2 linked regions of the Cricetulus griseus genome follow. The protein of the gene in region 1 interacts with the protein of each later gene in a pairwise test. Links are inferred from orthologs where the notes say so. Each region holds a gene or a part of one and is shown in the gene's direction. Other genes may lie near its edges.

Evidence for each region.
Region 2: the proteins of Ube2n (region 1) and Rnf103 interact in a two-hybrid assay, tested with the Homo sapiens proteins (3 studies listed by BioGRID and IntAct). The link is inferred for Cricetulus griseus from reciprocal best matches to the Homo sapiens genes UBE2N and RNF103.

The regions. Positions count from the first base shown.
Region 1 is NW_023276806.1:161,500,850-161,504,596, forward strand, and holds the start of Ube2n (ubiquitin-conjugating enzyme E2 N), read left to right. Parts: upstream 1-1,358; 5' UTR 1,359-1,516; coding exon 1,517-1,546; intron 1,547-3,747. UniProt on the Homo sapiens protein: The UBE2V1-UBE2N and UBE2V2-UBE2N heterodimers catalyze the synthesis of non-canonical 'Lys-63'-linked polyubiquitin chains. This type of polyubiquitination does not lead to protein degradation by the proteasome.
Region 2 is NC_048601.1:63,196,651-63,200,397, forward strand, and holds the start of Rnf103 (E3 ubiquitin-protein ligase RNF103), read left to right. Parts: upstream 1-1,438; 5' UTR 1,439-2,233; coding exon 2,234-2,459; intron 2,460-3,747. UniProt on the Homo sapiens protein: Acts as an E2-dependent E3 ubiquitin-protein ligase, probably involved in the ER-associated protein degradation pathway.

The DNA.
Region 1 (3,747 bases):
ATGGACACCCATCTTAATTGTGGTTGTCACCTGGGCTGTATAAACAGAGAGGTAAGCACTAGCATGAAAAATTCGATGTGACCAGCTGTCCTTAACTATGGTGATTATCCCCTTTGAACTGAAATTAACCCCTTTTCCTTTAAGTTGCCTTGTGGAGTATTGTGGTGATATTTTATGATCTAATAAAGCTTGCTTGAAGATCAGAGTGCAAAGCTAGCCACAGCCATTCAGGCCAGACAGTTGGTGGCACACACCTTTAATCCCAGAAGACAGAGGCAGATGGATCTGCGTTCACCACCACCCTAGGAAAACCTGTAGGGAGGTGGAGAGAGAGGAATCATAAGGCAGAAGGAGACAGGAAAGCTTGGATTTAGAGGTTGGTGGAGAGCAATGCAGTCTGAGGACAAGGATCTCCCCTTCCTTCTGAGCTTTGGTAGAGGTGAGAACTCTCTAGTGGCTGGCCACTTTGTTTTTCTGATCTTCAGCCTTAACCTCAATATCTGTCTCTGAGTTTTTATTATCAATATCAACTATTATTCGTGCTACAGGATATTTTATCACAGCAACAGGAAAAGAAATGAAAACACCCAACAATCCCTTTTGGGACCCCTCCACTTTTAGGGCCTTCACTCTGAAGGTACTCCTACTCCTTTAGGGATTACTCCCCTACTTGTTGCAAATCCTTTTGGGGTGGGGGACAGGTCGGAGAGCCCCCCTCCCTTTTTTTGTTGATTGTTTGCTTATCAAGACAGGGCTTCTCTGTGTAACTTTGGAGCCTGTCCTGCAACTTGCTTTTTAGACCAGGCTGACCTCGAACTCAGAGATCCTCCCGCCTCCGCCTCCTAAGTGCTGGGATTAAAGGCGTGCGCCACACCGCCAGGCGAGGCCCCCCCCCTTTTTTTTTTATGTGAAATTAAAACATTTAGAATTATTTGTCAGGGCCTTGACAACCAGTTTCCCAGTTAGAAGCTTTGCCATCGAGTGCTTCTCGTTTGGAACAAGCCCCCCGATCACCAGGTCGACGGAGATGCGGCGCAGCGTCAGCCCGCCGCGCAATGCGGGAACATTGAATGAACAAATGGAACGAATGAATGAATGAGCTACGCCGGGGGCCGGGCCTTTGTTACGTCGCCCACCGGCGCAGGCGTGGTCGGTCGCACGTACGCTACTCGTGGACGCCGGACACCCAGTCTCGCGCAGATTCTGCCGCGGGCGAAGCAGCTCGGCGCTGCCTGGCGCCGCCTCCCCCAAGTCCCTGCCCCGCCGCGGAGCGTCACTTCCGCCACCCCCGGCTGGGGTTGGGGCGGGGAGTGCGGGGGAGGGGGCCATCAGGTCGGACGGAAGGCCGCCCGAAGCCCGCGTCCAAGCAGGGACTACATTTCCCGAGGGGCCTCGGCGGAGGCAGCGGCGGCGGGCGCGGCGACGTCCCCCGGAAGTGGAGTCCGGGACTTCCACTCGTGCGTGAGGCGAGCGGAGCCGGAGACAAGAGCAGAGGCCGAACTCGGGATCTGACAAGATGGCCGGGCTGCCCCGCAGGATCATTAAGGTAACCGCCCAGGCGGGCTTCGGGCCTCCCGCTCGGCTCTCCTCCACCAACGCGCCGGGCCGCGCGGCCATACGCTTCACTCGGCAGCCGCTGAGGGGCCCGAGGCATCGCGGAGAAGGGTCTGGCCTCGGCGGCGGGGAAGTCGGGCGCTGAGGAGGGGGCGCCGAGGAGACTTCCGGCCGCCGCTGAAAGCCGGACGCCGGGGGCTCTCGGGCTGCGAGGCCGCGCGCGGCACGGGAGGCCAGGCCGGTGCCGGTGCCGGGTGGAGGGCGGGGCTGCGGGCTTGGCGTCTGGCGCGGGACCGGCGCGGGCCTCGCCAGGCTTTCTTCACCCGCGGGCGGGAATCGCGGCGTGGCCTGGACTCCGGGCGTGGGTTGTGGCCTGGGCTGGCCGCTTCGCCCCGGAGCCCCCTTCTCCTGGTCGGCGGTCTCGGGTGCAGAATGAATGAACCGGCCCCGAGAACCGGGCGGGGCCGCGGGCCGCGAGTCCAGCCGCCGACCGCACATGTTCGTCCTGGCTGCCCGCGGTCGGCGGCGCCGGGGGCTTGGCGCCCGGGTGGGTGTCCTGCCCGCCGTGTTCGCTTCCCCGCGTTGCTGCCGGTTATCTCCGCGAAGTGATTTTACTCCGGTTGGCAAACTCTTTTTTCTTTTCTTTCTTTATTTTTTTGGCCAACTGTTTTCTGTTCCGAGGCACTGGTTCAGCCCAAAGCATCTCGGTTATGGGGATGATCTGTAATAGTTCGCCTCTGTTTTCGTGCGCCTTCCGTATACTAAGCGGTCTCGAGGCTCTTTAGGAATACTGTGTTTTGGTGAGTACGTATGGAACCATGAAAAAACTCGTATCTTGATTTTCTGAAGTCTTTACATAACAGCGTTGAGACTTCAGACACGATAGGCATCTGTTTTTATGAAGGATATTTAGTTAAAAAAAAAAAAACCCTACACTGCTCACCATGCCAGTGATATGCCCATATTGAAGCTTCGTTTTGCTTGCTGTAATCTAGTGAGCTTGAATTTACAGCACTGTTCACTCTTCTGAAGTTTTGGGCGAGATTTGTACTAATTATATCGAGGGCCCCTTTGAAGGATGTGATGCACTGTCTAGTCCCTCGGGCAGTCACAAATGGGTGTGAGGTTGGGTGTATGACAGAAAGGTGCTTAAATTAGAAAACAAGACCATTTATAAGACATTCTTAGGAAGAAAGAATAAATTGTCAACGAGCACTGTAGTCTTGACATAAACTTTTACTGCTATATTATGAATCTCAGATTCTTTCAAAGTAGATTTTAATTGTTAGGTCGTGCGTTGGAAAGTCCTGACTCGTTTAATTCTGATACAGAGACATGAACACTAGTGATCATGTTAATCAGGATTCCATTTGAAAAATGATTGCTTCCCACCAGACCACCGGGTTTTTATTGTTTGGTTAGGGACTAAACATACCACAGATTGATAATGAATATAATTCTCTAAAATTCACACTGAACCTAACAGTTGGTGTAGTTTTTTTTTTTTTTTTTGATTTTTGCTTGATTGTGAAGATTAATATTCTGCAGTAATACAAAAGTCTTGATTGGGAAAATAAATTCTGTGGAATATTGGCTATAAATTTACAGAAATGGTTTAAAGTAGGATGTTGAGGAGCTTGTTTAATTCATTTGGTACACAATGCTTAAGCATATATTCAGTGTTGCCATTTTGCTATTTTAAAACAAGGTAGTGGTAAACTCGTGCTGAGACATACAATCTTTACAGTATTTTATTGCACCCACCTCTAATTTATGTAATATTAATTGACTTCAGTACTTATAGCTTTAAAGGATTTTTTTTTTTTCCCCCATCAATAGGGCAGGTTAAGAGATTAGAATAATTTTTTTGTTTGTTTTCGAAGCAGGGTTTCTCTGTGTAGCTTTGGAGGTTGTACTGGAACTCACTCTGTAGACCAGGCTGGCCTGGAACTCCCAGAGATCCTCCTGCCTCTTCCTCCCCAGTGCTGGGATTAAAGGTGTGTGCCACTGACACCCCCTAGAATAATTTTTAGATCCATTTTTATATTATGTAGGTTCTATAATCAGTTAAAAATATGCTTTTTCTACTGTTAGGGATTGAATTGAAACTAGCTAGGACTTTGTATGTGCTCTGCAAATGCTTTACCACCAAGCAACACCTCAAGCAGAAAACGTATTTACATTAAAATTTAT
Region 2 (3,747 bases), on another chromosome or scaffold:
TGACTATATGTCAATCTATTATTACTAAAATGCATTCCTTTGAGGGGGCAAGGGATATCATTTCTGTGTTTAAGATTTGAATAGCAATGCCACCATGTAACAGTGCTACCATGAAATCAAGGATGCAGAAATTCCAGGCTCAAGCCTGTTAAAGTGAACTGTTGAATACAATCGCCTACATGGTCTGCGGATCTGGAAACAAAACCACCTTGAAGCTAGCTAAGACAGGAGAGTGAAGCTGGACATTCTACACCCTCTGCTCCCTGGCCTGTTCCTCCTAATTCCTCCGCTAGCTGGACACCAAAATGTCTTTGTTAAGTACATTTTAAAGGTGTGCATGGTCCATTCTTTGCTTTCCATGGCTCATTTGCTCTTGGATTGAGAGTTATAATCTCTCCCTAAAATTTCCACCCCTAGTTTAGGGTTGTTTGTGTTTTTGCATGTTGGCTAACATTTCCCCTAAAATTCCAGCTTGTTTTCCTGATCAAGGGGTTCATGGAAGCCTTGTTCAGTTCATGAATCCAACTATGCTCTCCCTCAAGACTGCCACAGAAATTTAAACAAAGAATATGGCTCTACTAGAGTTAAATAAACACGGAACCAGGTACCTTGTGCTTGTCTGCCAAACTCGTTTTATATAAGCTCCTCTGGCTGACTAAAACACACAGACCTTTGCACCTGGACCTATTGGCACCTAACAACTCAGCGTCTCCATGTCTACTTTTTAACAACCTGAGGAGGACATTGTAACAGCTAGTCACAACTTGGTCTTATACTAACATTCTTTTTGGCTAAACCTCCTCCAATACACATGTGTGAAAAACACATTCTATCGCAAAGGTAGACAAGGAACTGTTTTTGGAGTTTCACCTCAAGCACCTCAAGCCAGCTGTGCCCCACCCCTCCCCCAAAGTCCCCAGTTCTCGGGGACCCGACTTAAAACACGGGCTCCGATTTTTACAGATCCTGACAATTTGGGGTGGGCGTGGTGGAGCAGGTCTTCAGTCCCAGCACTCCAGCCACGGAGCAGGCGATCTCTGCGAGTTCTGAGGTCAGCTTGGTCTACAAAGTGGTTCCAGGCCAGCCAGGTCTTCAAAATGAGACTCTCTCAAAACAATAAACCACAAACAAAAACGAAGATCCTTAGCTGTCTTTTTTTTTTTTTTCTTTCACACACAGCACAAACTTGCACAATGCCGCAGGGTCCAATGTCCAATCCGGGGACTGAAACCAACGAATAAACATCTGCGGATAAGAGGGGTGGGAACGCCAGAAGCACACTAACCCAGCAGGCGTCCGCCAGCCCAGCGCGGGTGGCAGCCCCTCTCTCTTCCCCCCCGCCCCCGCACCCTGCAGCTTCTGGCCCCGCCCCTCCCGAGGCCCCGCCCCGATGCCGACGTCAGTTGTTATGTCTTGACTAGGGCCGGGGCTGCAGCGGGTCCAGTGCTCCGGGGGCGGCGGCTGCGGCCTGTGGAGGCGGCCGGACGGCGGCCGCGGTTGGCGCGGCACATCCGCACGGGGCTGGGCGCCGCGCAGCGACGCAGCTGACACAGGAAGCCGCCCGGGAGAGCCGCGTCCGGGCCTAGCGTTATTTGCTTTTTTTTTTTCTCCCTTCACGACAGTCGCCTCGCGCTCTAGATCGTCCTCTGCAGGAGCCGCCGCGACGCCCCCTCGCGGGCCGCGGCCTCAGAGGCGCCGCCTGGGAACCTGGAGCCCCTGCCGGGCCTGGGCGGCCGCCGGGCCCTGAAGCCTGGGCGCTCGGCGCGGCACTGCGGCGGCCGCTCCTCCCCGCTCAGGGCGCGCCGGGCCCGGGCCTGGCCCAGCGGAGCGCCGGGCCTTCCCGACCGCGACCACGCAGCCCGGCCTCAACCGCTCTGCGCCCGCCCGCAGTCTGTCGGAGCCGCCGCGGGCTCGGGCCCCGCCGCCGCCGTCACCCCCGGTTGGCCCCTGTCCGCTCCCAGCCGTCCGCTGCTCGATGGGTGGGGTGCTTTTGAGCGTCCCCCCTTCTCCCTTTCTCTGCTGTTGACCGCAGGGACAGCGCCCGTGCCCTGCCGGTCCCCCTCCGCCGCACGCACGCCGCGATCCACCTGCCTCCCCGCGGGGATGGCCCGCCGGTGACCGCCACCTCCGCGCGCCCGAGCTGCCCTCGTCCAGGCTGCGCTGCGTCGTCCTGCACTCGTCCCCCTCCCCAGTCCACGGCGTCCCGGCTCCCGGCGACGCCAAGAGGGCGAAGATGTGGCTGAAGCTGTTTTTCTTGCTCCTCTATTTCCTGGTCCTGTTCGTCCTGGCCAGGTTTTTCGAGGCCATTGTGTGGTATGAGACTGGCATCTTTGCTACCCAGCTGGTGGATCCCGTGGCATTGAGCTTCAAGAAGCTGAAGACCATTCTGGAGTGTCGAGGGTTGGGCTACTCCGGATTGCCCGAGAAGAAAGATGTTCGAGAGCTGGTGGAGAAGTCAGGCAAGTGCCGGGATCCCCGGGGTCGCCCTCGCTGACCTGGCTCTTTCTACTGAAATGAGGCGGTCCCCGGAATGGTCAAGCAGACTGCTCCGGAGAGCTGCCCAGGTCTTCTTTGACCACGTTTCTACGAATCTGTAAATCCGGGTTTTGTAAAGGGGGCTGTTAGGTGTATTGGTGTGTTTCTAAGGTTCTTTGGAAATGACAGTTTGAAAATGTAGCTTTAAAAAAAATTGTTAAATTGAATGATTTATCTCAGAATTCAGGAACGTCTGTTGAAATTGAGTAAAATGTAGGGAAAGGAAAAACTTCAAAATGTAGCTGTAAATAGCAGCATCTGTCTCCATAGTAAAAACAAGCTACCGGGAGGGTAAAGCATCATTAAAATAATAACAAAGAGGCACGTGGATCTAAGATTTACATGTAAATTATGTGTTTGGGTATGGTGTACAAGGTGCAGATTTTCTCCTTTTACTTTAAATGCAGTGAACATTTTTTGTGACTGTCGGCCTTACTTGGAGTTCATATTTTCTTGCAGGATTACAATTTTTATTTTTGAATTTTGAATGTATACCTTTCTGGTCATGTGTCACAGGCATCTCTGCGTCACTTAATGGGTTGAGGAAGACAATTAAAATAGGGCTGAAAGAATATTTAAAGCCTTAAATAATATATTGCTGAAAGAATATTTAATGCCTTAAATAATATATTTCCAGTAGGCGTTAATTTGGGGTTTAGGATTGGGTAGGGAAATACAGTTAATTTGTTTCACTGCTGTACAAAGAAAAATGTCTCCTGACAGAGAATGTAAGTTGAAAAAAGGCATTCTGAATTGCTGTAGGAAGCATTTAAAACTGCTGATTGTCTTTTTGTTATTTCAAGTACATCTGTCAGTTGGGCCTTTTACAACATAATTTTTTTCCATATGTAGTACTATCTAGACACTGTAGTGTGATAGGCAAGAATACAAGCTATAGCAGTTCAACACTTGTGGATTGATAGCATAAGAGTTATAGAACTCATCTCACCAATGGGGTAGAGGGCAGGAATCCTTTGCATAAGGACTACCTTTTTCAACTTGTGTATTATTATTGCCCTTGTTTGCTGCCTGGTTTATGGTGCTATTGGTTGTTGAGGGAGGGAAGTGGGTTGGTGAAAGTAAAAGTTACTATCTCATACAGTTATTTGACCACACTCCCCCCACCCACTTTGAGCTTTATGTTAGGCATTTTGCTGCCTTTTGAGCCTGTAATTGTTCTTTTTGTTTGTTTGTTTTTTGTTTTTTTTTTCC